Linked DNA regions of Tamandua tetradactyla. The protein of the gene in region 1 purifies or fractionates together with the protein of each later gene. This does not show direct contact. Links are inferred from orthologs where the notes say so. Each region holds a gene or a part of one and is shown on either strand. Other genes may lie near its edges. The genes, in order: FAF2, SETDB1, UBL4A and DERL1.

Region 1 (7,315 bases):
ATGTAAAAACGTGGATGGACTTGACATTATGCTGAGCGAGATTAGCCAGAAACAAAAGGACAAATACTGTATGGTCTCACTGTTATGAACTGACATTTGTGAATAAACTTAGAGAATTTCATTGGTAACACAGACCATCAGGAGATAGAAATAAGGTAAGATATTGGGTAACTGGAGCTGAAGAGATACAGATTGTGCAACAGGACTGATTGTAAAGACTCAGAAACGAATAACAATACCACCTAACTGTAATACAATTATGTTAAAACACTGAATGAAGCTGAATGTGAGAATGATAGAGGGAAGAGGGCTGAGGGCACAAATGAAATCAGAAAGAAGGATAGATGATAAAAACTGTGATGGTATAATCTAGGAATGCCTAGAAAGTATAATGATAGTGATTAAATGTACAAATTTAAAAATGTTTTGCATGAGGAAGAACAAAGGAATGTCATTACTGCAGGGTGTTGAAAATAGATGGTAATTAATATTTTAAAATTTTAACTTATCTGTGAGTCTAGAGCAAAAAAATGTTTTTTTGGTACAAAATTTATATTTTGACTAGTGCAGTTCCTAACATAACTTATGTGGACAGCTTAATTGAACACTGTATGTACATGGAACCTTGAGTAGGGCATAAGATTTGGTAGGTTTGTCCAGAGTGATGCCCTAATAAACCTCAGAGTGATTTGAACAGTGAGTAAAAAAGTATTTGCAAAGTCCCCTTGGGGGAATGGTGAGAAAGGGGGAAATTTCAACTCTCCCCAAGTGGAGAATTCTTGATATTCTCATAAGCAGTGGGGACAACAAAAGCAATAGGCTGAGTCTCCAATCTTGGGGCTTGTTCATACGAAACTTAACCCCACAAAGGATAGGTGAAGCCTACTTAAAATTAGGCCTAAGAGTCACCCCCAAGAGAACCTCTTTGGTTGTTCAGATGTGGCCTCTCTCTCCAGCCAATACAACAAGCAAACTCATCACCCCCCACCCCCCGCCGTCTACATGGGTACATGAGACATGACTCCTAGGGGTGTGGACCTTCCTGGCAATGTGGGACAGAAATCCTAGAATGAGCTGAGACTCAGCATCAAGGGATTGAGAAAACCTTCTCAACCAAAAGGGGGAAGAGTGAAATGAGACAAAATAAAGTATCAATGGCTGAGAGATACCAAACAGAGTTGAGAGATTATCGTGAAGGTTATTCTTATGCATTAAATAGATATCGCCTTGTTAGTCAAGATGTAATAGAGAGGCTGGAGGGAACTGCCTGAAAATCTAGAGTTGTGCTTCAGTAGCCATGTTTCTCGAAGATGATTATATAATGATACAGCTGTCACAATGTGACTCTGTGATTGTGAAAACCTTGTGTCTGATGCTCCTTTTATCTACCTTATCAACAAATGAGTAAAACATATGGAATAAAAATAAATAATGGGGGAACAAGCATTAAATTTAGTAGATTGAAATGTTAGTGATCAATGAAAGGGAGGGGTAAGGAGTATGGTATGTATGAATTTTTTTTCTGTTTTCTTTTTATTTCTTTTTCTGAATTGATGAAAATGTTCTAAGAAATGATCATGATGATGAACATGCAACTATGTGATAATATTGTAAATTACTGATTATATACGTAGGACGGAATGATCTATGTTAATGTTTGCATTTGTTTGTTGTTATATTGTTAAAAAAAATTTTAAATAAAAAAAAATGGCAATTCTGTCCCTGATTCAGATAAGTTCTGAAATCTAGAAGGCCCAGCCTGTCGAGAACATCAGATAGTTTCATCTCCTTAACCCCTATATTAGTGTTAGACCCTTGCAATATGAAAAAGTTAGAATGGCCATAGCCCAAACACCCCTAAAGAGAGAGAAAGATCAAAGGTGATGGTGGAGTTATACAGTGACAATAGGATTTATCAAATGAATATGAATGCTGAATCATTAAACTGATACCTTTTTTAGTCTCGAGTATCTTAGAGCAGCTAGAATTAAAAGCCTAAAATCGTGGAATTATAATCCATGTCAAATTCTGAAATATGTTCTACAACTAATTGTGGTGCTGTACTTTGAAATTTATTGCTTTTTTGTATACATGTTATTTTTCACAAAAAAAAAAAAGGAGAAAAAGTTGATTGTGATGATAAAAAAAATTTAAGCCTTCTAGCCTCCTATATTCTGGAGCAGTTAGAAGGAAAAAAATCTGAGGTGATCATATGGCAGCCCATGACAAACTTTGGGATCTGCATAGTAACTACTTGTTGAACAGTGCTTTGAAAACTATTGCTTTTTTTATTTCTTTGCTTTGTATACATGTTATACCATACAATAAAAAAAAAAAATACAGACAAAAAAATGGCAACTCTGGTCTCTCACATGGAAGCCGTCAGCTATAGCTAAAAAGCAGCAACTACCTTTGGACAAGTGTTCTAGTTTGCTAGCTGCCGGAATGCAACATACCAGGAATGGAATGGCTTTTAAAAAGGGGAATTTAATGAGTTGCAAGTTTACAGTTCCAAGGCTGAGAAAATGACCCAATTAAAACAAGTCTATAGAAATGTCCAATCTAAGGCATCCAGGGAGAGATACCTTGGTTCAAGAAGGCCGATGAAGTTCTGAGTTTCTCTCTCAAGTGAGAAGGCACATGGTGAACACAGAGTTTCTCTCTCATCTGGAAAGGCACATGTCAAACACAGTCAGGGTTCCTCTCTCATCTGGAAGGGCACATGATGAACATGGTGTCATCTGCTAGCTTCTTCTCATGGCTTCCTGTTTCATGAAGCTCCCCAGGAGACATTTTCCTTCTTCATCTCCAAAGGTCGCTGGCTGTTAGACTCTGCTTCTCGTGGCTATGTCATTCTGTTCTGCACTCTCTGAATCTCCCATTTTTCAAAATGTTTTCTCTTTTATAGGACTCCAATAAACCAGTGAAGACCCACCCAAATGGGTGGAGACATGTCACCTAATCCAGTTTAACAACCACTCTTGACTGGATTACATCTTGAGGGAGACGATCTAATTACAGATCCAAACATACAGTATTGAATAGGAATTATTCTGCCTTTATGAAATGGGATTTAGATTAAAACATGGGTTTCCTAGGGGACATACATCCTTTCAAACCAGCACAACAAGTAATGGCTGGCCCTCCAGTTTTCCATCTGGTGTCCCTTGCACTAGGCAAATTCTTACAGTAGAGTTTTAAAGAACAAAAACGAAACATTTCCTGTAACCAAGTCTTTATCAAAAGATGAAAACAGAAAGACAAGAGGATATATGCTTCAGGGCGGGCCACGGTGGCTCATGCCGGAGAACTCGGTTCGATTCCCAGTGCCTGCCCATGCAAAAAAAAAAAAAAAGAGAGAGAGACTATATGTTTCTTTGAGGAAATGAAGAACATTCAATGGTGATGAACAGAACTACAAAGTATTTCTGTTGAATGAATATATCTTAAACAAACAACAAGCCAAAGAAAGTTAGGATTGTGATTTGCCCTCTCTGTGCTTCACTCACTTATGTGACCTGCCTGACTCCGGAGGACATCTGACTTTGAAAACCCACATCTAGATTGTCTGGACCCAACCTTATTGGAAATGCTGACTAGCATCCAATCTCCCTTGAGTTTCGAGTTGATGGAATAAATTCCTGATGTTAACAGCTGTTTCCTTCCAAGCTAACCTTAAGGGTCTAAGAAGAATGGCCAGGAACATTGTTCGCGAGGTTTGTGGAGACCTGTTAAAATCTGATACAGGCCTGTAAGGAAGTGGTCAAAATCCAAGCCCTTTAATCTCTTAGTGTACAATTCCAGTACTTCAGTTTTCAAAGCGCTTCCTACCTTCTGTCACCTGGTGAGCTTTACGAAGCGGGCAGGAGCAGGAGTCACCAGATGAGGGCACACCGGACAGTGGGGACCGGGAGGCCAAGCGCCCTGCTGGAAGTCACACGAAAGCATGTATCAGACCCAGACCTCTCTGCCTCCCCAAGCCTTCCGGAGGGTGGCAGGTAAACGGCAGGAAAGAGAGAAGTGGAAATGGAAAACAGGGATCTGCGAAGAGGAGGCAGGCTGGAAGGGGCAAGGAAAGGGCAGGGGAGAAAGAGATGCAGGGGGGTATACGGCCCTGGAAACAACCTAAGGGAAAGGTCTTCTTGTCCGGAAGGTGAGAAGGTGATAAGCAGAGGCGGCTCGTCTGAGGCTGTCCAGAAACCTCATTCCACCAATGGCAAAACGGAACCCAGAGATGAGGTGGTTTGCCCATTTCTGACAGCAGGGTGGGTGGGAACTAGAACCTAAATCTGATCCCAGTCCAGGTGCGAGAGAGACATGAGAAGGCATGAGGCAGGCAAGGAAAGGGAAAGGCTCTACCGCTAGCTGGTGAAGCCGTTAGCTGTCAAGGACCCACAGGGGTTCAAACACCCTTAGCAAGCGACTTTGAAGTTGCCGCTTAAACGCGACCAAAGCCTCCCGCAGTTTCCGGGTGGAACGCGGCGTCGGAAATGCCCCACCGGCATTCGGGGACTTTTCGGAACGTCCCGAGAGACGGTCAGGAGCTCGAAAATCGAGGCAGAGCTTTTGGACACGTCAGAGCAGGAATCTAGCATCAAACTGCCGCCGATAGTTCAGAAACTGCATTTCCTGAGAAGCATTCGGGAATGTCCAAGATCACCGGGGAATGGTGAGGGAGCAGGAGAAATGAACCGAATGACACTCGGGAGTTTCCGGAGCTGTTCGAGGCCCATTCGGGATCTCTCGGCTCTTTGAGACCCATTCAGGAGTCTTAGGTCTCTCGTTGCTCCGTTCAACGCCTGTGTCGTGCGGACGACGCGTGCTAAGTCCAAAAGCGTTCGGGATCGGCCTGAGAGTGGCGCCCTCCGACGGCGGGAACTGTCACCACTTCTGGCAAGGCCTCGGTCGGGGGGCCAGCACGCGCAGACGTACTTAGTCCCTGGCGGCCGCTCGGCCCGGACGTGGTTGCCGTTGAGGTCATTTCCGGCGGGTGACGGTGCGGACGGGTCAGAAGCGTAGAGGCGGCGGCAAAATGGCGGCGCCTGAGCAGCGGGATCTAACCCAGGAGCAGACAGAGAAGCTGCTGCAGTTTCAGGTAGCAGCGACTACTTGGTGCGGCAAACGCCGCGGTGAAACGGGGGATGGGTTCCCCGAGGAGCCCAGAACCCTCCTTAGATTGGGCCCAGGCGGGATCCTTCTTAGATCAGCCGGCAGCCCCCTCCCCCCCAGATGCCAACTGCCCTGCATCCCTGGTTTCCCCGAGGCCCGGATCCTCTCTGGGTGCCCGGCCGTCCAGCCTCTTTTCCCTATCTTTTTATCCTTGGCGGGTCAGTTGCCTCAGGTTTTCCTCAGCGGCTCCCGTCCTCAGCCATCTTTCCCAGCCGGGCTACCGGTCGGACCCTCTCCGCCCAGCGCCTACTCTACAGATGTGTCGGAGGTGCTTAATCCCTCCCGCGGAGCTGGCTTCATTTCGGGTCTATGAAAAACTTCCTACCTGCAGGCCCTGTCTGTTCCTCCTACATTTACTGCTGGCCTCATGGCTGTCAGGTTTCCTCTTTGGTGGCGGAGAGGGCGCCTGTTGGCGGGTCTGGCCCCTCACCCTCAGAATCTTAAGTATTGACAGCGGCTTCTGAAGGAGCTCATTATTCAGGATTTATTCCTGGACTACTGTGCTTGACTGTGCCTAAGGAGGGTGATAACTTGCAGGGGTCTGCCTCCTTTTATTGGCTGTTGTGTTCAGTACATTTGGCACTAGGCATTTATCTCAGAGCTTGGAATCTGGTTGGAGAAGGCCACTAGGGTGGGTAACCTTGGCTGTTTGTTACCTTGGTGGATACCAGTTTCCTTATCTCTAAACTGTATATCTTAAAAATGTCTCCCTTCAAAGGATGTTGTAGAGATCAAGTAAGCTTATGGAGTCAGAAGTACTTTCTAAACTGTAAAATGCTCCCAACAATCTGCTGCCGTTCATTATTATTTAAGAAAGTAAAATTAGTGGTACACCTAGTTCTGCAATATTTATCAAGAGCCACAGTGCTCAGGCACTGTTAGGTACAATACCATTTATTGAGCATTTACTATAAGCACTTTGCCAAATGCTTAGCATACATTATCTTATTTAATACTCACAATAACCCTATGAGGTTGATACTGTTAGAGTCCCTGTTTTACAAGTGAGGACTCAAAGGCTTAGGCAGTAATATGCCTAGGTTACACAACTAGTAAGTGGTGGTGCTAGATTGAAAGTCAAGTCCATCTTTTCAGAACCTTTCTCTGGCTCTTCTGTGCTGTGCAACCTATATGTAAGTTTTAGTGTATAGCTGAAGGAGTGGAATGCAAATACTGTGATGCTAAGTTGTGCTGTGTTTTTTCATGTGTGCAAGTTCTCACTTTAATGTAATTTCCTTGAGTAGATTTCCCTATACTTAATTTTGAATTTTTTTGTCTTCCCTCATGGAATGGGTTCAAAGTATATAAAAGGAAAAACGATTGAAGAATTAGCTGACATTTGTTTAGAGTTTTTGAATAGAGAAATTGATGACACAGCAAATTAGAATCAAAGATAGATGAACAGTGGACAACTAGCTTCCATTTTCTACTAGATCACCCATTTCATTGGGAAGACCTTTTTACCCTTCTTACAGGGGTAAGTCCCAGTGTTTTAAGTGTAATGAGTTGATGTAAGTTATAAATAATGATGTGCTTGGTCTGGTATCAGAAGAGCATGAATATGTGGTAGTATTTCTGAGGTAAAGTGCATAAAAACTTCCATTTTGTTTTCGGTGGACATCTAGATCAGTAAGAGAGGTGGGTAGTAAGTTAAAGTTGTATTAAGGTTGCTTTATGAAATTGGGTTTAAGGAGGAGATACAATTTGCATTTATATATTCTTTTATTCACCTCTTGATCATATTCATCATTCAGATTACCATTAAACATTCTTTGAAACTTACTAGGTGTCAAGTGTTATACCAGGTAGTTTAAATCTCTTATTAACTCTGTAAAGTGTTAACCCGTGTTTATTTTATTAATGAAGTAACAGGTTCTGCAAGGTCAAATAATTCACACAAGTAGTAAGTGACAGAGGTTTAGAAATCCATATCCATAGCCATCTTACCTATAACCTTATGGGAGAAGCCAGATTTAAACACAGATAATGGGTATCCTGCAAGGTATTAGTGCTTGTGATGTAAAGTGGTATGAACACAGTGCTGTGAGAGCTTAGGAACAAGTCAGAGTAATTATGGTAAGGGGGAAGAAGTATGTCTTATAGTTACCTTTTATTGAGAATCTGCTATGCCCTAGGCATAAACATA
Region 2 (7,293 bases), on another chromosome or scaffold:
ATTGAATTTGAGAGCAGAGATGATCAGAAAAGACTTATTGTAAAGGTTCCTAGATTGCAGGCTCTTACAGCAGTCACATCTATTCCTGAGAGTTCTTTGTATATAACCTGGTTGTTCCCTGGAATTTCAGGTATCTGTGTGAAACTTGCGCCTCAGAGCTACAGTTCTGCAGCTATGAAAGTCAGCATTACCCCATACTGCAACTGCTAAAAAAAAAAAAAAAGCTGAAAAAGAAGTCAGCCTTCAATTAAAGACATGAACAAAGCTGATCTGGTTAGGACTAAGGTCAATCAGATGAAAGGTTAAAGGATGATATTGACTGTATTTTAAAACTTCAATTTCTGTGTGAGACCAAAGGAAGAGATATTTATTTGGTGCAAAATTTATATTTTCTATGGCACACTATCTAATTTAATTTGTATGGGCAGTTTATTCGAACACAATAATTACATGGAACCTTGAAAAGGGAGTGAGACTTTGTTGGTTTGTACAGGTTAGTGTGATAATCTGATACATCCAGAGTAACCTGGTACAGAAGATTTAAAAATCCCATTGAGGAACTAGGGAAAAATGTGGAAATATTAAAACTTCTCCACTTGGGGAAACCCTGCTTCCTCACAAGCATTTGTGTGCTGGTTTGAAACTGTTATGTACCCCAGAAAAGCCATGTTCTCTTAATCCTAATCCAATCTTGGGGATGCAGACCCATTGTTTGGATGGGACATTTTGATTATATTATTTCCATGGAGATGTGACCCCGGCCATTCAAGGTGGGTGTTAGTTAATTTACTGGAGTCCTTAAGGAGCCAACACAGACAGCAGACATAGACATTTGGAGATGAAAACAGAAATACTCTGGGTGCTGAGCAAGAACTCACAGAAATAGCCAGAACCTGGAGAAAGCCAAGAGAAGCTGAGAGATGAAATCCAGAGTTTGCCTCAGAGAAGTTTTAATGTACAAACAAATCAGCCTGTAGGCTTATTAAAATGCAAATTTGGATTTGGCACATCTTGAGCAGGACTGGAGATTTCGAATTTTGAACATATTTAGTATGTTGAGTATGCAAGGCCTTAGAGCATGAACCTTTACAATGAGACTTTCCTGACCATCTCTGCTCTCAAATTCAATTTTCAGAGTATGCACATTGTAGTTAGTCCATATAAGTGATGCATTATACTATCTGTCTTTTCATTACTGGCTTATTTCACTCAACATTCTGTTCTCATGGTTCATTCACCTAGTTGCACAACTCATGCTCTAAGGCCTTGCATGTTGAGTAAGCAAGGCCTTAGAGCACACTTCCTGCATCTCTCTGCTGATTTCTACAGGACTGACCACTTTAGCTTTCTGGGCAATGAAGAAATCAAACTGGAATATGATGCTCCAAGCAGCTCCTGTTTTTCCTCACCAGACCCACCTCCCCCACAAAGACACTGGAAAGCTGCAAGAATCTAACGGAAATATACTTAACCAGGGCATAGCAAAGATTTCCCTTCATTCAGCATACATTAAGGGGCCCCCTGTGTAGGTGCTAGGAGAAACAAAGGTCATTAAGACAGACTCTTGAGTTGATCACAAGCCAGAGGAAACAAACATACGCAAGTCAACTCACTAGCGGAATGAACTAAGGCAATGGAAACACAGAGGCAGGAATTAATCCTGCAGGGGTGAAGCATGGAAATATGTGCAGATATAAAATTTATAAAAGTGTCTCACATAACCGTGGGAACGTAGAGTCCAAGGTCTGTATGGCTGGCTGCAAGCTGGCAGCTCCGATGAAGTTCCTCATGAACTCTTAGGAGAGGCTAGCTGGACAACCACAGGAATGGATGACTCCAAAATCCACAGGGCAGGCTGTGCAGCTGACCACTCCGATGGAGGGTCTGGACAAACTCCACAAGAGAGGCTCGTGGGCTGAAGCAGGAAGATAGCTGTCTCTTCTGAATCCTCCTTAAAAGGCTTCCAGTGATTAGATTAAGCATCACTCATTGCAGAAGACACGCCCCTTGGCTGATTACAAATGCAATCAGCTGTGGGTGCAGCCAACATGATCATGATTTAATTGTATGAAATGTCCTCATAGCAACAGACAGGCCAGCACTTGCCCAACCAGAGAAACAGGTACCACCACCTAGCCAAGCTGACACATGAACCTGACCATGATAGTGGTCTAGGACAGTTACTCCTTTTTGTTTAGTTTTTTTTTATTTAAGGAAACAAATAATATACTTAAAACCAACAAAAATGAATATCTAAGTTAGCTTAACCATAGGCATAAATAAAGTGTCCATATAATTATTGTAAAGCCTGTGTTTGCACAAGTTTCATAAATCAGTTTAAAATTAAGGCAACAAGAAAAAAAATCTACATATTCAGATAGCAAAGTTCTTAAACTCTAAGTATTAAAAACTAAGATATCATTTGATCAGCTGTCAAAACTGTGAATGTTCTCAAAATATCTAGTAGAAAGTTCTTACAAATATCTGCATTGCTATAGTAATGATCTATATTACTAAATATTTTCCTCATTTCAGGAAAATATAAATATACAAATATTTTTACCATTGACATATGGGAATCTTAACCACCTAAAATGGATATCCTAGTTAGCTTATCTACAGGCATATTTAAAAAAAACCTAAGGAATCATCATAAAGCCTGTTTGTACAATATGTTTCATAAACCAATTTAAAATTAAAGCAAGGAAGGAAGAAAATCTATAAATACAGATATCAGAGTTACTTGAACTGTAAACATTAGACATTATCTTAAATACCATTTGATTAGGCATTCTGTATGCACTCTCAAAATATCAAGTAAAAAGTTATCACAAATATCACCTTTGCTATAGTAGTGATCTATGTTCCTAAATATTTTCAAATTTTTATTTCAGGTGTTTATTTTATCTAGTATTACTATAATTGCCTATAGTTTTTTTTAAACCATTTTTAGTTGTAAAATATAACATACAGAAAAGGAAGAAAAAAAACAATTTTCAAAGCACACTTCATAACAAGCAGCTACAGAACAGGTCCCACAGTTTGTCACGGACTACCATGCCCTCATCTCAAATTTTTCCTTCTACTGCTCCAAAACACTGGTGGCTTTAACTTGATCACAGTCGTAAAAATGGAATCATACAGTATCTGTCCTTTTGTGTCGGACTTATTTCACTCAGCATTATGTCTTCAACGTTCCTCCACATTGTCATATGCTTTGGGACATCATTTCATCTTACTGCTGCATAATATTCCATCACATGTATATACCACATTTTGTTTATCCATTCGTCTGTTGACAGGCACCTGGATTGGTTCCATCTTCTGAAAATTGTGAATAGTGCTGATATGAACATCAGCATGCTCATGTTTTAAAACAGAACCTTTAAAAGGAAGTGAGTGACATGATCAGAACCACATTTTAGAGCTACATGTAGAATTAATCTACAAGACATGCCGTTTAGGAAGCTCTGGAAGTTTTCCTGACGAGAAAAAAAGAGCTAAAAGAAAAATAAAAATAATGTAGAGGAGGAGAAAGCTATAGTAAACATTTCCAAACTAGGACAAACAAGTATTAATGTTTCAAGAGAAGATCTTTGCTAATCAGAGTGTGAACTGTTACCTTTTTGCAAAGTAATTTCTACTAAAATGAAAAATGTACCTATCTTTTGCTCGAGATTCCATTTTGGGGAATCTTTTCAACAAAAAAGTACTACTTCAAAATAATGTTAATGTTTTGCATTGTTGCATTGTTTGTAGTGGCTGAAAACTGCAAACTAAATTTCTAAATATGGTTTAACTATACTACGAACTACTATATAGCTGTCAAAAGGGTATTTTACCTTTATTAACGTCAAGGGATATACCCATGTTAAGTGAAAACAAAACAATTTCCATACATGAATGTGTATGTAAGCGCCTCAAAGGAGTAGGGGAAGTGACGGCGGAAAGGGGAGGAGATTACATTTTTCTAACTACATCTTGTTACCTTTCGACTTGCTAAATTCCTACGACTTAAGTAATAATACAAATTCAAATAAAAGTGAGAAAAGAACTCTAAATCTAAGTGTTTGCCGAGTGAGTCTTTACACGATAAATGTAGCTCTGTCGCTACCAGCAGAGAAGCACCGCAGGATTCTTCAAAGTACCGGACCCGCGAGCAAACGCTTTTCACGTGTGCGGTAGCCGACTCGGCTTCACGCATGCGTGGTTGCCTTAGTTGGCCTAGACTCTCTGGGGACTCCGCGCGGCTTTGGGTTTGACCCCGTCAGGCTACCGTCGCCGTGACCGGAACAGTGTTTAAGGTTTACTTCCGGGCGTGTCTGCAGCTTCCCCTTCCCTCTTTCGCGTTTCCATCCCTCCCCCTGCTCCCTTTTCCCTTCGGTTTCGTTGTTTCCTTTTCCCGTGGAGGCCGATCCCTAAGTCGTAAGTCTAGGATCTGGTTGGTAAAGCAGAGCTTTTGGAGCGGGATGCGGGGAGGTTTGGGGTCTACTGTTAATTGAGGTATTCGGAGCCTAAAGGCCCGGGTGGGATTTTTGTTTGCGGGAGGAGGTCGGGTGGGGGTGAAAAGGAAGTTTCCCCACGAAGCGAGCGTGGGCGGGACTCAGCCTGGATTGCGGGTGGGTGGAACGTACCCCTAAAATGGGTAGCACGGGGGAGGGGCGAGTGTGAGGAAAGGAAAGATGGAGGACAGAGAACTGGCATAGAATTCAGCATCAATCTTTCTTTAAACCCAGAATTCGGTATCAGTCCTGCTTTAAACTTTTGATCGAAAAAGAATTTCATACTAACGAGGGTTATTTTGACTGTGAATTTTATTTGGTAGCCATATTTTATTCCCAGACTAATTTATTTCTCTTTCCTTCGAAGAAACCTCTTTTTGCTACACGCTTGCCTGTGCTTACGCATTGTAGCCTTTTAAGGGGCATTACAAACAACAATCAAATGTAGATGTACATTTTCTCATGGAAGCAAAGTAGGGGAATCAAGTGTAAAGTAAGCTACAGATAATCTTTCCCCGATTGAGGGTATTTGTTCAAATTTGGCATAATATGTAGACATAGTTCTGTTTCATTAGTCAAATAAAGAACATATTAGGTCAAAAAGATTGACCTGTAGATTGATTCTCTTCAGTTTCCTAAAACATTTCAGTAGCTCCGTATTACAAAATGAATTAAATAAAACTTATTCAGTGGGACTCTCACGTCATTCTGCAATACGGCCCCCAAGTTAGCTTTTCAGCTTCGTATCTCACCACCACCTATGGTTTACCCCCAAACATCCGAAGTTGTTGAAACGCTTTCATGGATTTTCCCCACGTGGAATGCCTCCAACTTAATTTTAAAGGCTCATTTCAAAAGCTCTCTCGCTGGCTTAAATGTTACATGTTACATGTTAGATGCTGCATAAAAAAAAAAAAAGAAAGGACAATGTAAATATAAGCAGTTCCTGACATTTGGTAATATACTGATATGAGATGCAGGTACAGAACTTGACAGCTAAAATAAACATTTATATGTTGTGAGTTTTAAGGTAAGATAACTAGATAGCCTATGGGATCATGTTCTCCATGCCCTCCCAAAATTTTAAATCAATCCTCTTAGTCTGTAGTGTGAGCTGAGAACTCTACAAAATCTCAGCAACAGGTTCTGGAGAATTGGAAGAGAGAATATAGAATCAAATTTAACTGTTTTTTTTTTGTTTTTTTTTTTTTGATAACAGCACAGTAGGAATAAGTCTATTAGTAGGAATAAGTTCCCTATTAGGGAACTGAAATTCTTTATTAATTGTGGTGATAATGACCCTAAAGGTAATTTTAGTTTTCTGTTCCATGCAGAGGACAACAGGATGTCCTCCCTCCCTGGGTGCATTGGTTTGAATGCAGCAACAGCTGCAGTGGAGTCTGAAGAGATTGCAGAGCTGCAACAGGCAGTAGTGGAGGAGCTGGGCATTTCTATGGAGGAACTTCGGCAGTTCATTGATGAAGAATTGGAAAAGATGGACTGTGTACAGCAACGCAAGAAGCAGCTAGCAGAGTTGGAGACATGGGTAATACAGAAGGAATCTGAAGTGGCCCATGTTGATCAGCTCTTTGATGATGCGTCCAGGTGAGGACTGCATGAAAACGAGAAGGAACTCTCTCCGTTGGCGTTTTTTAAAGTATAATTGTTCATGACACAGTGCCAAACACATTATGCTTTACTACTTTTTTCCCTAGTAAGATCACCTAAGGAGTGAGGATTGTCATGAGTTTCTGACTTATGTGGTTATGGAGCATTAATGAGTTCCTAAAACTTCTATCAGCTTCTAAACCCCAAAAAGATTAGTTTCTGGTGCCCTCTTTGTCACTGAGAACATATTTTCAAATAATCACAAAGTAAATTATGAAGTAAGGTTGAAAAGACTTTGAACTTATTTTCCAGATTTTCAAGGAACTAGTTTGGAAACCATACCACCATTTAAAATGTTTTTCTATGGTAAGCATTCCAAATTCTAAACAGACACTTTGGAATATGGTCTGTAAGTTAAGGGCAGTCTATATTTAAATATATATAAATCCTAACGACTCTTACACCTACCTTCTCTGCTTTTCTACATATATTCCAATATTAGGGCAGTGACTAATTGTGAGTCTTTGGTGAAGGACTTCTATTCCAAGCTGGGACTGCAGTATCGGGAAAGTAGCTCTGAGGATGAAGCTTCCCGGCCTACAGAAATAATTGAGATTCCTGATGAAGATGATGATGTCCTCAGTATTGATTCAGGTAAGAGATAAGGCTTTGGATAGGGAAGTTTCAAAGATTGAAGTTGAAACTCTGAAAGAGGAGCAGATGAAAACAGAAGAGGAGAAACTGTTATCACTAACTTCATATTCCAAACTACCTGACTTGCCTGCTAGAGGAAAAGAATAGAATATTGTTAGCATAATAAATACAATGTCTAATTGCATTGTCCTCCTTTCCCTATCCTGGATAATCTCTATTCTGAATTCCCTTGCTTTTCTTTGTAGGTGGCATTAGTGCCTATGTGTGTATAATTTACATACCATAAAATCCACTCATTTTAAGTGTATGGTTTGAATTTTAGTAAATTTACACAATTTTGCAACTTTCCCCACAATCCAGTTTTAGAATACTTGGATTACCCCTAAAAGTTCCCTTGTGCCTGTTTCCCATCAATCCCCATTTTCACCCCCAGGTACCACTGATCTGCCTTCTGTTGCTCTAGTTTTTCCTTTTCTAGAAGTTTTTTAAAAACAGAATCATTCAGTCTGTTGTCTTCTGTGTCTGGCTT
Region 3 (6,099 bases), on another chromosome or scaffold:
GGGGGCCCTCATCAGGCAGAGTCAATGGCTGGGGGTGCCAGTATGGCACAGGGCCTTGCCCAAGGTCCCACCCGAGAGCCCCCCACCTACTTTCCCTTCGTTGAGAGCACACTGGCCACAGCAGCCCCGGGGAGGCTGAGGGTGGGGGCCAGGCCTCCCATAGGGGTGAGGGCAGGCCTGGGCTCCTGGGCAGTGGCTTCCCCTTTCGGGCTTAGGAGAAGAGTTGCTCAAAGATGCATCTGCGGTGGGCTCAGCACTGAGTGCCGAAGCCTGTCCCTTGGAAGCCTTGGAAGCCACTTGCTGCTTTCTCACCCTGAGGTACTTCAAGAGGCTGGCTCCTGGCTATCCCCGCCTCTCCTGAGGGGTCCGTGGGCGAGCCAGGCCAAGTGTTTTGAGTGGGGCGTGGGCTGTTATTACTATGATGAGCCACGTGGCAACCTGAGAACACATTTCATGCAACATGCAGCTACGGCTCTGCCCCCCCCACCCCCCCCCACCCCCACCCCCCCGCTCCAAGACCCTTATTTGGAGAGCCCCTTCTCCAGGGCCTCGGTCACTTCGGGGTGCAGGAAGCGGCTAGCCAAGCGTTCGATGTCATCCAGTGTCAGGCGGCTCAGGGACCTCTCGTAATCCTGAAGAGAGAGGGGCCAGGAGGACTCAGGGGGGTGGCGGTGCCAGAGGCAAGGTCTGGAGGCAGCTGGGACTGGAGGGACCGGAGGCCCAGGGCGTGGGGATGCTATGCAGTTCTCACCCGCTGGAGCTGCTCCAGGACCCGACTGGCATCTGCGGCGCTGAAATGTCGGCCTAAGACTTTGGAGATCAGCTGCCAGGTGGCGGGGGGTGGGGGTGAAGGCGGCGCCTCGGCCCGTCTCCGGGCCGTGTCTGCTTCCAGCAACACCTTCTCCAGGGGCTTGACTGCTAGGTTGAGCTTGGAATTGGGTCCGATGCTGTAGTCGGACAGTCGCTTCCCATCTGCCACAGCCAAGTGGGTGGCGTGCCTTACCATCTATGGCTGGGTGCGGGGGAGAGCGGGGGCGCCCCCGAGGAAGTGCTGCCCACCCCAAAGAGCGCACACCGAGGAGGCCCTGGTTGGGGACCCTGCTTCGGCGCCCGAGGGTCAAGCAGGGCACTCGGCGCCCGCCGGGGGGCAGGGCGCGGCCTCTGACACCCAGCTCCCCGACTTCCTGCGGGGCTCCCTGGGTGTCTCCACCCGGGTTACCTGCCAGGGCCTTGCCCTTGAACAGCAGCCGCTGCTGGCGCACGGGGACGTTGAGCTTCTCGGAGACCAGATGCTTGAGCGTGGCCACCAGCTCGTCCTCTGACACCTGGACGGGCCGAAAGGGGGTGGGGGGTGGGGGTGGGAGCCGGGGTTGAGCCCGCCAGCCTCGGGCCGCGCGGGGGTGGGCTCCCCGGCCGCCCCGTCCCCACCCGGGCCGGGTCCCGCGGCGCGCCGCTACCTGCAGGCTGCACTCCCGGCCCTGGAGCGCCTTTACCGTCAGCTGCATGGCGGCCGCCGCGCCGTCCACTGCGGCCCGCGCGCGCCCTCACCGCCCGCCGCCGCCGCCGCCGCCGCCCCGGGAGCGCGCCGGAACCGCCCGCCGCCGCCGGAAGCAGGCCCCGCCCCCGTTTCGCCCCGCCCCCTGGGGGAGGAGTCCCGCCGGCCGCCCGGCCACGGCCACGCGCGCGCGCTGGGGGCAGAGCCCTGCTGGGGGAGGAGGAGGCTCGAGGTGGGTCAGGGGGAGCCCCGTCCGGGGAGCCGGGCCAGGGGGAGGTGGCAGGTTCCCGCGACCGCGCTGGCCGTCTGCGGCCCGATGGGCTGCCTCTCCCGGAGTCCGCGAGCTTGTCCTGCTCTGGGCCCAGGCAGTGCGAGCGGGGTGACTGGAGGGGAGGGCCGCCCCGCCCTGCCCCGGCTAGCTCCGCGTCCCGATTGCTTTATTTCCCCCCCGCACCCACCCCCACTCCTTTTCTGGTCTAGCTGTGGAAAACCCAGCTGAGTTTGCGAGCAGGCGGGGATTGCCCAGCCCCATCCTCCCACCGCTGTCTTCGAGAACCCCGAGGCCCCACCCCTCACGGGGTGAGGGAGGGTGGGGCCTGAAAGAGCCCGACGCCCATAAAAACCAAGGCCTGAGCGCAGCCTCCTTGCCCTCCGCAGCTGCAGATGCCCAGACCAGGCAGGACCCGGGGGCACCTGTGCTCAGGCCACCGCGCCCGCTGGCCGGCCCTCCACCCTGGTGCACACCTACCCGGCACCTCCGGCCCCCAAAGGGCAAAGATCAAAAGGGACCCAAGCTGGCTTTCTCTCTTTTATTGAAATATCGTTTTGCCGGGCAGTGCCCTCACGCAGCGTGGCCTCTTTGGCACTGAAAGCTGGAGAATAAAAAAATCGGTACAAAAAATAAGCCTGGATTTTTTTTTTTTTTGAGTGCATAGTGCATGAGAACTAAAGGCCTTTGGTACACGCGGACGGTGGGTGGGCCGTGGGGCCTCGGGTTGCTGGAAGCTGGGTGCTCAGGGAACTGGGAACAGGCTGCTGTAGATGAAGTGGCCAACCACCATGGCCAGCATCTCCGAGGTGCCGCTCAGCGCCACGATGAAGGGGGCCTGGGAGGCGTAGTCGGCCTGGAGGCGGCGGAAGGACAGCTGCAGCACGGCCAAGGCCAGCAGGCTGTTCTGCACCCCGACCTCGATGCTCACGGTCCGCCGCTGGGCCTCAGGCAGCTTCAGGCACCTGGCCAGGCAGTAGCCCACCAGGAGGCCCACCAGGGGCACCGTGAGGCCGGCCAGCACAATGGGGAAGCTGACGCCCACCAGGATGAAGACCCCCATGTGGTAGGCCAGGAAGAGGCCGCCCAGGAGGAGGACGAAGCTGAAGGGCTTGATGACCTGCAGCAGCAGCTGGGAGAACTTGGGCAGCTTGCACTTGATCACCACCCCTGCCGCGATGGGGATGGCGATGAAGAGCAGGGTCCCCAGGATCTTGGAGATGGGCAGGTGGAGCGTCTCGTGGATGCTGAGCAGGTGGCTGTACATGGCGGAGGACAGGGGCAGCAGGCCGGTGGCGGCCACCGTTGAGATGAACGTCATCGAGATGGCAAGGGTGACGTCCCCTCCGAGAAGAAGGCTGAAGAGGTAGCTCCCCCCACCCCCGGGTGAAGAGCAGGTGACAATGAGGCCGAGCGCCAGGGCCTTGGGCAGCATGAAGGCCTTGGCCAGCAGGAAGGCGTAGAACGGCATGACAAGGAACTGGCCCAGCAGGCCAAGCAGCATGGGCTGGGGGTTCTGCAGAAGCCCCTTCAGGTCCTGGAGCTCCACCTTGCACCCAAACGAACACTTGTTGACGAAGATCAGCGGCAGGAGTAGGTAGAGCAGGGGGTTCTCCGAGAAGTGGACCAGGTCGGTGCTGAGGCTGGTGGGCGTGTCTTCTGCCGGGGAGACCTTGATGCGGAAATCTCTCCGCTCCTCAATCACCACGGGCTGGGCCTCCCGGTGGTCCAGGAGACTGATGTGCAGTGGGGCCAGCCCCGCCAGGCCGGAGCGGATGCTCACCACGAAGCCACGCCCGCCTCCCCAACTTAAGGCACTCACGTTCTGGATAGTTAGCACCTCCGTGTCCAGGGAGGTGACCCTGAGAGTGGGGCCGGGCCCTGTCCCGTTGTGCTGGCCTGGGTACCGGCTAGAGATGACGATGATGCCCTCGCTCTCCTCTGGGAACTCAAACTCCATCACGGAGCCATCCCCAATGTTCAAGTAGTGGGCCCCCGGAAGCGGCCCGGTGGGGCCCAGAGCCATGCCGAGGCTGGCCCCGGCTGTCCCTCGGACCCCCCATGGCAGGCTGGCCAGCAGCAGGGTAGCCCTGAACATGGCCAGGGGGCCTGTGCAATGACACCACGCGGCCTGGTGCCCCTTGGGGCTGGCCCTCCCTAACAGCATGGCTTCTCCCGGGCCCTCCTGGGCTTAGGAGAGCAGCCCAGCTGGTGCCGTAGGAGCGTCCTGGGGAGGGGCCATGGGCGAGGTCTGGCTTGTGCTGCCTTCCTTGATGGTGTGCTCTCCCTGAGGACAGAGGGGACACAGAGAGGAAGCCGGTGAGGGAGACTGCATGCCTCCGCGGGTACCGGCAGCTTGGGGGATGTGGAACACAAGGGCAGTGCCCGCTGCTGGCCCTTGAATCTCTTCAAGCTGTCCCCTGTCCCGGCATAGCTGCCTTGCCCAGAGGGGCACCTAGGGGCAGGGGTTCTGTTCAGTCTGCCGGTCTCCACGGATGTCCCTGGCCTGGCCTATCGCAGTGACAGTGCAGAGATGTCCTGAGTCAAAGGGAGTCAAGGGGAGTCACCCCAGTCCTGGCACCACTCCAACTAAACTACGTGTGCCTGTCCCCCACCGCCTTTGCCTTGGGGCCACAGTGATCCCACAACCTGGGTGAAGTCTCTGAAAGGCTTCCTGGAGATGACAAAAGCAAAAGCTGCTGCTGGGAAATGCTGGTCGGGCCAGACCTGGGCACCTTCGACCAAGTGGGCCAGGGAGTTTGAGCATCATTTCTGGGGCACAGCGAAGTCAGCAAAACCATGTGGGCAGTGAGTGACCACCAGAAGGCCCCCAGAAACATGGTTGGGGAAGCTGCTGCTGTGGCTACCTGGCTGCCCTCCTTGTGGACAGCAGAAAAGGCAGGTTCCCTTTCCCTGGGGAAGTTGCTGGAAGGAGCAGCAGGAGGGGATCAGATAGGGCCACATGTCTGCCTGGGACTTCTCCTTTTCCCCACATAGCCCCCACACCTCTGGCAGTGCCAGAACTTGAGCTTCTGGAGCTGCAATATCGTATCTGCAAGGCTCTGCTCAGAATGCAGACACTCCTCTCCCCCCACCCCACCCCTCACGCATTCTGGCCACAGCCTCTAACTCTCAATGTGACTGTGAGTGTGTTGGGGTGAGGGGTGATGGGGAGAGGGGTGCTCAGAGCTAAAGGGCCAGGTTTTCCTCCCTCCCCTTCTGGATTTCCACAACCACTGCCTTATTGTCACATCACCTGCTGGAACTGGGGCAAACAGGATGGGGACAGTTGCATGACAGGACTCTCAGTTGCCTCACACCTCACAGAGTCACGGTCACGGAAGAGCCGCCACCTGTTCCCCCAGTTCTAGTACTCTTTGGCCCTGGCCTATGCCACATTGGAGACTGGGGAGGAGGGGGAGGTGGGGGTGGGGTGGAGGATAGGTGAGGCAAATAGGTCACCACCACTCCCCACCCACACACACAATGACACGGCCTCTGCTGGTTTGGGAGCTTCGGTCACCCACCCCGAGGCCTTGGTGGAACCTTGAGTCCCACGGGGTGGGGATGGGGGTGGGGTGGGGAGGGATGCTGGAAAATCAGAGGACTGGAGGAGACTCACATGGACAAGATAAAGGCACCCTGGACCGAAGCCACCAGGGCGGTGCCAAACCATTTCAGACAGGAGAGAGGGGCCACGGGCCACCCACCCCCATGCCCCCATCTTCCCGGAATGGCTGGCGGCGTTCAGTCACCGCGCAGACTAGACCCCAGACCCCTTCTGCCAGAAGAGCCGGCGGGGTCGGGCCAGGCGGCATGGCAGGGCACGCTGTGGAAGCCGGGCCCCTGAGGCGTCGTCCCCCCTGGCCGGGCTGTGGCGGCGACGGTCGCGGGAGCCTCCCCACCTGGGGCTCCGGAAGCTCGCCCAGCACTCCCCGGGGTCCGAGCTGCCTCTCGCTCCCGGGCGCCAATCGGGGAGACCCGGTGGGAGCGCGGGGGTCAGGGCAGCCCTCGTCCCGCTCCCGGGACCCACGGCCGCGCCGGGCCTCGAGCTTGCGAGGTGGCCGGCCCGGTCCTGCCGGGGCGCCGGAGCGAGGCTGGGGCCAGACGCGGCCTTCCGCCCTCCCGCCCCCCGCCCGGCCCGGAGGCGCTCACCTTCCGCGGCCGCGGAGCTCGGCGCCGGCGCCTGCCGGGCCCGCCGGACGCCTGTGAGCTCGGCCCTCGGGGCTCCGCCCCTCCCCGCCTCGAGGCCCCGCCCCCGTGCCCGCCCCCTCCCGCGGCGGACCACTCACCTCTCGCGTCCGGGTTGGGTTCTGACCGGATGTGACATTACTGG
Region 4 (7,384 bases), on another chromosome or scaffold:
TCATAGAGCTACTGAGCCAAGATTCAAATGTAGATCTGTCTGGCTCCATTATCTCACTCTGCCATACCTATGTTTTTCTGCCTCTCATGCACCAGATTTATATGTTTTTTCCAAAAGACTGCCTTGGACCAGAAAATGATTGATTGCTAGCCTGGGCTACAAATCTTTGGGAACCCGTATAACAAGATTCTGTTCCATTCCCCTTGTAAAAAAGGACTTATTCATACATTAAAGGGAGTGTTGCTCAACAAATGGTTCTCAAGAGCACAGAGGAAGTGGGTCTAGGGCAAAGTGTGGTAGGAATGTAGACACGGCTAGTTTTGCCTGCCCGGCCCTCCCTCCCCATACTAAGAACTGCACTGCTCTCATACAACACTTTTTTAGCCCACCTGGGTCACTGTGATTGGCCCAGGGTGGGGCTTGACTAAAGAGCCAATCAGAGCCTTTTGCTTGGATTTTTGAGTATAAGACCAAGAACAGCAAGTCATAGTCCCTCTCTGGTAGTAAAACCTGGGGCTTGCCAAAAGCAGTGGCTTCAGCGTTGTGTAGACAGCCGATCTGAGAGAGGCGGACTGATGCTCAGGCAAAATCAGAAAAAAAAAAAAAAAAAAAAAAGAGATGGAAAGAGAGCATCCTGGTAGCATTTACATCCATGATTCTGATTGTTCCAGCAGCACCACTGGCCTCCTGTCCTTCCTGTACTATGGTTACTCTAGCTAAAACATTGCTTTTATTTCTAAAGCAGATGGAATTGGAAGAAAAAGAGATGGAAGGTTTTAGGAACTGGCATTACATGAGCTGAATTTGGAAGGATGAATAGGGTTATCCAGGTGGAGGAAAAGTGAGGAGAGGAAACATCATCTATAGAAAGGTTTGTGTGTGTGTGTGTGTGTGTGTGTGTGTGTGTGTGTATGTTGGGAAACAGCATGGTGTCTTCCAGAAACGGGAGGAGCTCAGTGCAGTGAAAGCACAGACTGCACTGGGTGTCATTATGTATGTAACATGTATGTAAGTGCTGAGCACTTAGAAAGCCCGCGATGATGATGATGATGATGGTAGTTATTTTTATATTACTGCCAAGGTGAAGGGTATGAACATAAGAGTAAGAATATGCAAAAGTCATAAAAGGACCTGGACTGCCATTATAAAGAGTTAGGATCTTGTCCTTAAAGGTTCTAGGGAAACTTGAAGTGGTTTCTGGATACATCCTTCTAACTGCAGTGGGAAGATCACTTAAAAAGACTTTGAGACTTGAGGCAGAAATAGGGTAGTTGCTGTTCTAATTGAAATAAAGAGTGTTTAAGTGTTGACCAACTCAGTCACCTTGGAAGGAATCCAAACTGGCAACAGTTAAATGTCAAGGTTTTATTGACACCTTGTGTAGGAAAACTGACATTGCAAAGGAAACACTTCTATTTCATCAGTAAAAAAGAATTATGTGTCATACAAGCTAACTGATGCAAACCCAAGCAACATTTGCCATTTTCTAGATGACGTGGTTATTTGGCCTTATCAGGGGCAGAAGGAGGCAGAAGCCACTGCAAGTGAACTATGACATAGTGCATCAGTACCAACCCTCCCCCCATTCTACTGTGAGTCAGAATAGAAAAAGCAAATCAAAAGCATGTGTTCAAAGCTGCTTAAATAAATATTCATGGCTAGGTGTTCTCATAAAACATACATGAAAGCAACCAAGGGCAGTGCTTCATGTATAATCAAAAGGATTTGGCATCTACAGCTGAGCTAGGACAGTATTCAGAGGAGAGGGGAAAAGTGATGTTGTGTCTTGACACGTAGTGAGATCATTCCCAAATACAATGAGAAAATTGCTTAGATAGATGAGGCTTTCTGAAAGGCGTCCTTGAGACTAAAGGAAGGAGAATAGAAAGTGAAGCTCCCTTTTCTGGTTTGCAGTCTACTGGAATGCAATATACACCAGAACTGGAATGGCTTTTATAAAAGGAATTTATTAAATAGTTACAAGTTTACAGTTCTAAGGCTATGTAAATGTCCAAACTAAGGCATCCAGGTAAAGATACCTTAATTTAAGAAAGGCGGATGCATCTGAACATCTCTGTCAGCTGGGAAAGCAAGCTAGTCCCTTGCAGGTCCCTTGCTCCTGGACTTCATTTGGCCATTTGGGCCTCTGTCCCTGTGGGGATTCCTCACTTTGCTTCTCTGGGATTGGCTTTCATCTCTTGACTTCCCTTGGCTTTCTCTGGGTTCTGGCTTGCTTAACATTTCACTCATGGCAATGTCTGCTGGGCTCCAAGCATCTCCAAACATCTGTGTCTCTATTCTCCAAATATCGGTATCTGTGTCAGCTGTGCTTTGAAGTTTCTGTTGGCTCACTCTCTGTCAACGCCAAGGTTTCTGTCGTTTCTGGCTCTCTCCCAAATGTTTCCTCTTTTAAAGGATTCTAATAAACTAATAAAGACTCACCTGGAATGGGTGGAGTCACATCTCCTTCTAATCAAAAGTTCACACCCACAATTGGGTGTGTCATATCTCCATGGAGATAATTTAATCAACATGTCCACTGTTTATACAACATTGTAGTTTTTCTTTTATATCAATATTGTCTTCCTAAGGTTGTGCCACTTTATACTCCTACCATGTATGAATGGGTTTCTTCACATATTCTCTGCATTTAATATTTATTAGGTCCCCAAATGTTGTTTGTGTTCATTGGGCTGCGGAATAGTTACTGTCTTCTTATCCTGTAAATGCTGATTTTGTTAATATCATGGACATGGTGCTAAGAAATGTTATCTAAAATCACAAACTGTCAAAAACTTTGTGGTTTGAACTTAAACGTGTGTGAATGGAACATCTTTCTCCTGTCTGGAGGAGTTGAGCCATTTGGGTTGCTTTGATGTAGTATTTTCAATCCAGGTGTAAAGCCTTGAATAATAAGATTTCAGGCCCAGTATTCCACATTTATCTTAACTTTGAGGTTTCTAAGGGAAGAAGACTCTGGATCTGTATGGTGGTTGGAAGCTGTACGTATCCTGGAAAAACACATGCTTTAATGTATTCCTGTGGGTATGAACCCATTGTAAGTAGCACCTTTTGATGAAATTACTCTGGTTAAGGTGTAACCCACCTCAATCAGGATGGGTCTTAATCCTATTATTGGAGTCCTTTATAAGCAGAGTGAAATTCAAACAGACAGAGAGAAAGCCAGAGGGGAAGCAGCCAGAAGCTGAAATCAACAGACCTGGAAGGGGAGAAACCAGTATAGCCATCATGTGTTGTGCCAAGTGACAAACCAAGGACCAAGGATTACCAGCAGTCATCCCCAGAATGTCAGTCTTCCGGGAGAAAGCATCAGTTTGATGATGGCTTGGTTTGGACTTTCTTTTAGCTGCAAACTGTAAGGAAATAAATTTGAATTGCTTGAGCAGCCTAGAAAACTAAAATAGTCTGCTTCCCACTTTAGGCCTAGGCCTGATGTTAACCCCATTTACACAGAGCCCTGCTTTGCTTTGAACATAGCAAAACACTTGATTTAAATTTACCAAAAACTCTATCTTTCCTCATAATAACCAATAATAGCCCTGTCTTGTTTTGTTTGGTAAGATAGCCCAGAGTTCTGCTGGTGTGCAATCTCCTTTGTTTAAAACAAAGTTTATAAATCTTTGTTGCACTACAGGAGTGTTCCTGCTGGTATTATCACAGGGCTTTATCAATTCTGAGCTGTAGGCTCGAAATCTGAAAACAAAAGAAAAAATTCCATCAATCTCTTTTTTACAGATTTAAAAAAAATTAAACAAGATGAACTTTCATGTGCTTGTAATTTAAGTCTTGCCTAGTGAACTACATGAACATCAAGATCATTTCTGTTTTCAGTTCCTCCAACACTCCAAGCAAGGTGGAGCAGCTGTTTACATGAAAAACTCTTCCCTTATCTTTGCCTGGCTGGCGCAGCCCAACATCATCTCCTCAGAGGAGGACTCCCTGACCATTCTCATCTAAAATAGTCATCTTTCCCCACAGCCTCCCCGCCCCTGCCTCAGTCTACTCCATCACCCTATTATATTCTCCTTATCACTATCCAAAATTATCTTACTCAATTATTTATTTGCTCATTATCTGTCTATTCCTAATAATGTAAGCTCTAAGAGAGATGGTACCATGTTCTCAGCCTGGTACTCAGTAGGCCCTCAACAACCATTTGCTGAAACAACACAAACACGCGGTAACAGCTTGCTTCCCTTTAAATACTTACCACGGTGGATCCACCTGCTTTCTATCTCTGGCGGAAAAAAGGTGGAGGGTATCCGGCCTCGCCATTGGCTGAAGCATTTGTCGTTGCTCCAGACAACCACTGTTTCCCACCAGTCCTGCCTTCGCCCCGCCCCTCACGGCTCCGCCCCGTCCCCAGGGCTGCGGACCCGCGACCCAGTGGTAAAAGTCACTCTTGCCCTTTAAGCGGCGGGACTTCTGGTCACGTTGTCTGCGGCCGCCGGAAGGGGAAGTTTCCCCTCGGAACGCTCCCTCGCTTGTCCGAATTCGGTGGCGCCACGTCCACCCGTCTCCGCCTTCTGCACCGGGGCTTCCCTCTACACCTTCCACTCGCGGAGCCGGCCGCGTAGGGAGGGAGGCCAGGACCGGAGTCGGGCGGCTGTGCACATCCTGGCTACCTGAGTGACGAAGATGTCGGACATCGGGGACTGGTTCAGGAGCATCCCGGCCATCACGCGCTACTGGTTTGCCGCCACTGTCGCGGTGCCCTTGATCGGCAAACTCGGCCTCATCAGCCCGGCCTACCTCTTCCTCTGGCCCGAAGCCTTCCTCTATCGTTTCCAGGTACTGTCCGGCTCCTGAGTCAGTGGAGACTACAGGCCCCAGGGGGCCCCGCGGCTGCGAAGTGTTTGCCAGCAGGCTGCGGGCGCGCGGTGTCTGCTGGGATTCGTAGTGCATCAGCTCGAGGGGGTTAGGGCGGGGTCTTGGGCTGGAAGGGAGGCCGAGGGGTCTGTAACGAGGACCTGGAGAGCTGGACACGTGGGTTTAGTCTGGTAGGAAGGGACCGACCCTGTCCTTGTATTAAGATTGTGCTCCCCACGCTCCGCACTCGGTGAAGGAGGCAGTGAAAAGGTAAGTCAGTGACATTTGTCAATATTGGATACCGGTGTTGGGACCCCCAAAACGCCAAGGTTAGCAGTCTGGGTGGGACGACCTGGAGCACATGCCTTTTACCTACATCTGTCACCCACGTGGGTGGCATGTAGGTTCCAACTTGGCAGATATCGAAGTGATCAGTCCTTTTCATGTTAAGGGAATTTTTTTTTCTCTGTAGGAGGTCAGAAGTTCAGAGGTGTTTGTTTAATCTGCGTCTCCCTCAGTTTAAACTACTGTTGACATGTAGTAGTTTAATGTACGAATGAATAAAGAGTAAATTGCACCAGAAATGGGAGATGCTGTTATTTTCTTAGGCCTGAGGAAACAATGTAGAGTGTTCACCTGGTAAGAGAATGTTAAGTTACTGGGGGTTATTTTTATTCACCTTTTTTAGTAGTTTAACTTTAATTGCTTGTAGGTCAGATACCAAGATTTGAGATTAAAGTCAGTGAGTGCAGTATTTAGCCCGAGGATAGCACTCATTTTTGCTTCTCCTCACTGGCTACTTAGTCTCCTTTGCTTGTCCTCTCCTGACCTTTAAATGTTGTGTTGTGCTCCAGGGATCAGTTGCAGGACCTCTTCTCTATATTCTGCACCTGGGTGATTTCATTCAGTTTGGTGGGTTTAAATACTTTTTAAACTGAAGACCCCCAAATACAAATACAGATATATTTCAGTCCAGATGTCCTCTTTTCTAGACTTGTAGATCCAACAGTCTATTTGAGATCACCACTTGGATGACTAACAGGCATCTCAAACCTGACATGTTCTAAATGGAATTCTCCTGCCTTCTGTTTTAGAAGTAAATAGCAACTCCAGTATTACAGAAGCTCAAGCTTCTGTAAAGTTTTGTAGTCATCTCTGACGTTTCTTACTGTCACACTCCACAATTGCTCAGCAAATTATGTTGAGTCTACCTTAGACATCGCAATCCATTATCATCTTCCAATTTTATTCCTTTCAATCTTTTCTCCAAACAGCTGGAGTGATCCTGACAAGTCCTGTCAGTCCTCTGCTCCGAGCTCTTTGTGTCTTCTCAGATGGCAGAGTAAAGTCTCAGTCCTTTCAGTGGCCTGCAAGCCCCCCAGCTACTTCTCTGACTTCATCTCCCACTCTTCTCCTCCTTGTACTTTAGGTTCCACAGTGGCATCCTTGCTGTTCCTTCATCATATAATGATCCCTCATCAGGGCTGTTGCACATGGTGGTCCCTTCTTGAGGAAGATAACTGTGGCTCTCTGCTTTATCTCCTTACCTCCTTCAGGTTTCTGCTCAAATGCCACCTTGCCAGTGGGGCCTTCTCTGATAGCCTTACATAAAATAGTACCTGTCCTTCACACTGTCTCCTTTACCTTTACTTTTCTTTGCCATGTATCACTTCTTAACATTTGTTATTCTGCTTCCCCTCAGAGTGTAAGACTCTATGAGAGTAGAATCTATGTCTTGTTTACTACTACCTTGTTCCCTAGACTAGTACCTGGCACATAGCAGGTGCTTATTTATTGGTTAAGTGCATGGATATTGGGTACCAGCTGTGTGCTGGGTACTGATGATACAATAATGAATGGATCAGAAGAAGTTCTGGCTCCCATGAAGAAAATAAAAGAGAGGCCTGTGATGGAGAGTGGAGTGTAATATTTGACAGTGTGGTCCAGAGAGGTGTCAAATAAGGTATTTGAACTGAATCCTGAGTAACAGCAGCCAGCCTTGGGGAAGAACTTGTTCTGGGACAGCCTTCCAAGAAAAAGGAATAGGAAGTGAAAAGGTTAGGGGCAGTAACAAGGAGCAGACGACTGAATTGCTGGTGAAGTGAGCTGTAGGAATGAGGCCCAGTAGATGAGGACAGGAAGATAGTCAGGGGTATGTGCAGTAAACTGAACTTGGAAAAGTAGGTCAGGGCCAGATCTTATAGGGCTTTCTAAGGCCATGTTAAGTGTGTTGAAGTTTATTTTGAGGGCAAAAGGAGTTTCTGGAGGCTTTTGAGTGAAGGACTGACAAGATTGCCTTTTTTACTTCATTGGGTGGACTCCGTGAATGTGTGTGCATGCGCGGTGGGAGAAGGAATGGAGGTGGGGGTTGCCTACCATGGCGTGTGCACACGTGTGTGTGTGTCTGAGAGAGAGAGGGAGGGAGAGCGAGCGCACTTTGAAGAGGGATAGGTAATGGGGTCAGAGAGGAGTTAAGGTAGGAGGCAAAAGAGATAGTGAATTTTACTCAGGGTTGGCTCTGAAGTTGGAAGTGGACAGATTTGGGAGTTGGAAT

Evidence for each region.
Region 2: the proteins of FAF2 (region 1) and SETDB1 purify together in Homo sapiens (affinity purification with mass spectrometry; 3 studies listed by BioGRID and IntAct, counting the BioPlex papers as one, with this or other methods). This does not show direct contact. The link is inferred for Tamandua tetradactyla from reciprocal best matches to the Homo sapiens genes FAF2 and SETDB1.
Region 3: the proteins of FAF2 (region 1) and UBL4A purify together in Homo sapiens (affinity purification with mass spectrometry; 3 studies listed by BioGRID and IntAct, with this or other methods). This does not show direct contact. The link is inferred for Tamandua tetradactyla from reciprocal best matches to the Homo sapiens genes FAF2 and UBL4A.
Region 4: the proteins of FAF2 (region 1) and DERL1 purify together in Homo sapiens (affinity purification with western blotting; 4 studies listed by BioGRID and IntAct, with this or other methods). This does not show direct contact. The link is inferred for Tamandua tetradactyla from reciprocal best matches to the Homo sapiens genes FAF2 and DERL1.

What each region holds. Positions count from the first base shown.
Region 1 is NC_135346.1:57,868,020-57,875,334, forward strand, and holds the start of FAF2 (FAS-associated factor 2), read left to right. Parts: upstream 1-4,298; 5' UTR 4,299-5,032; coding exon 5,033-5,095; exon of another isoform or gene 5,096-5,254; intron 5,255-7,315. UniProt on the Homo sapiens protein: Plays an important role in endoplasmic reticulum-associated degradation (ERAD) that mediates ubiquitin-dependent degradation of misfolded endoplasmic reticulum proteins.
Region 2 is NC_135330.1:4,640,191-4,647,483, reverse strand, and holds the start of SETDB1 (histone-lysine N-methyltransferase SETDB1), read left to right. Parts: upstream 1-4,293; 5' UTR 4,294-4,425; intron 4,426-4,431; exon of another isoform or gene 4,432-4,503; intron 4,504-5,836; 5' UTR 5,837-5,847; coding exon 5,848-6,107; intron 6,108-6,612; coding exon 6,613-6,764; intron 6,765-7,293. UniProt on the Homo sapiens protein: Histone methyltransferase that specifically trimethylates 'Lys-9' of histone H3. H3 'Lys-9' trimethylation represents a specific tag for epigenetic transcriptional repression by recruiting HP1 (CBX1, CBX3 and/or CBX5) proteins to methylated histones.
Region 3 is NC_135353.1:6,801,588-6,807,686, forward strand, and holds UBL4A (ubiquitin-like protein 4A), read right to left. Parts: upstream 1,556-6,099; 5' UTR 1,506-1,555; coding exon 1,458-1,505; intron 1,326-1,457; coding exon 1,220-1,325; intron 973-1,219; coding exon 752-972; intron 633-751; coding exon 522-632; 3' UTR 501-521; downstream 1-500. Other genes in the region: SLC10A3 (P3 protein), read right to left, coding at 2,509-3,930. UniProt on the Homo sapiens protein: As part of a cytosolic protein quality control complex, the BAG6/BAT3 complex, maintains misfolded and hydrophobic patches-containing proteins in a soluble state and participates in their proper delivery to the endoplasmic reticulum or alternatively can promote their sorting to the proteasome where they undergo degradation.
Region 4 is NC_135332.1:167,569,842-167,577,225, reverse strand, and holds the start of DERL1 (derlin-1), read left to right. Parts: upstream 1-4,373; 5' UTR 4,374-4,659; coding exon 4,660-4,812; intron 4,813-4,972; exon of another isoform or gene 4,973-5,100; intron 5,101-7,384. UniProt on the Homo sapiens protein: Functional component of endoplasmic reticulum-associated degradation (ERAD) for misfolded lumenal proteins. Forms homotetramers which encircle a large channel traversing the endoplasmic reticulum (ER) membrane.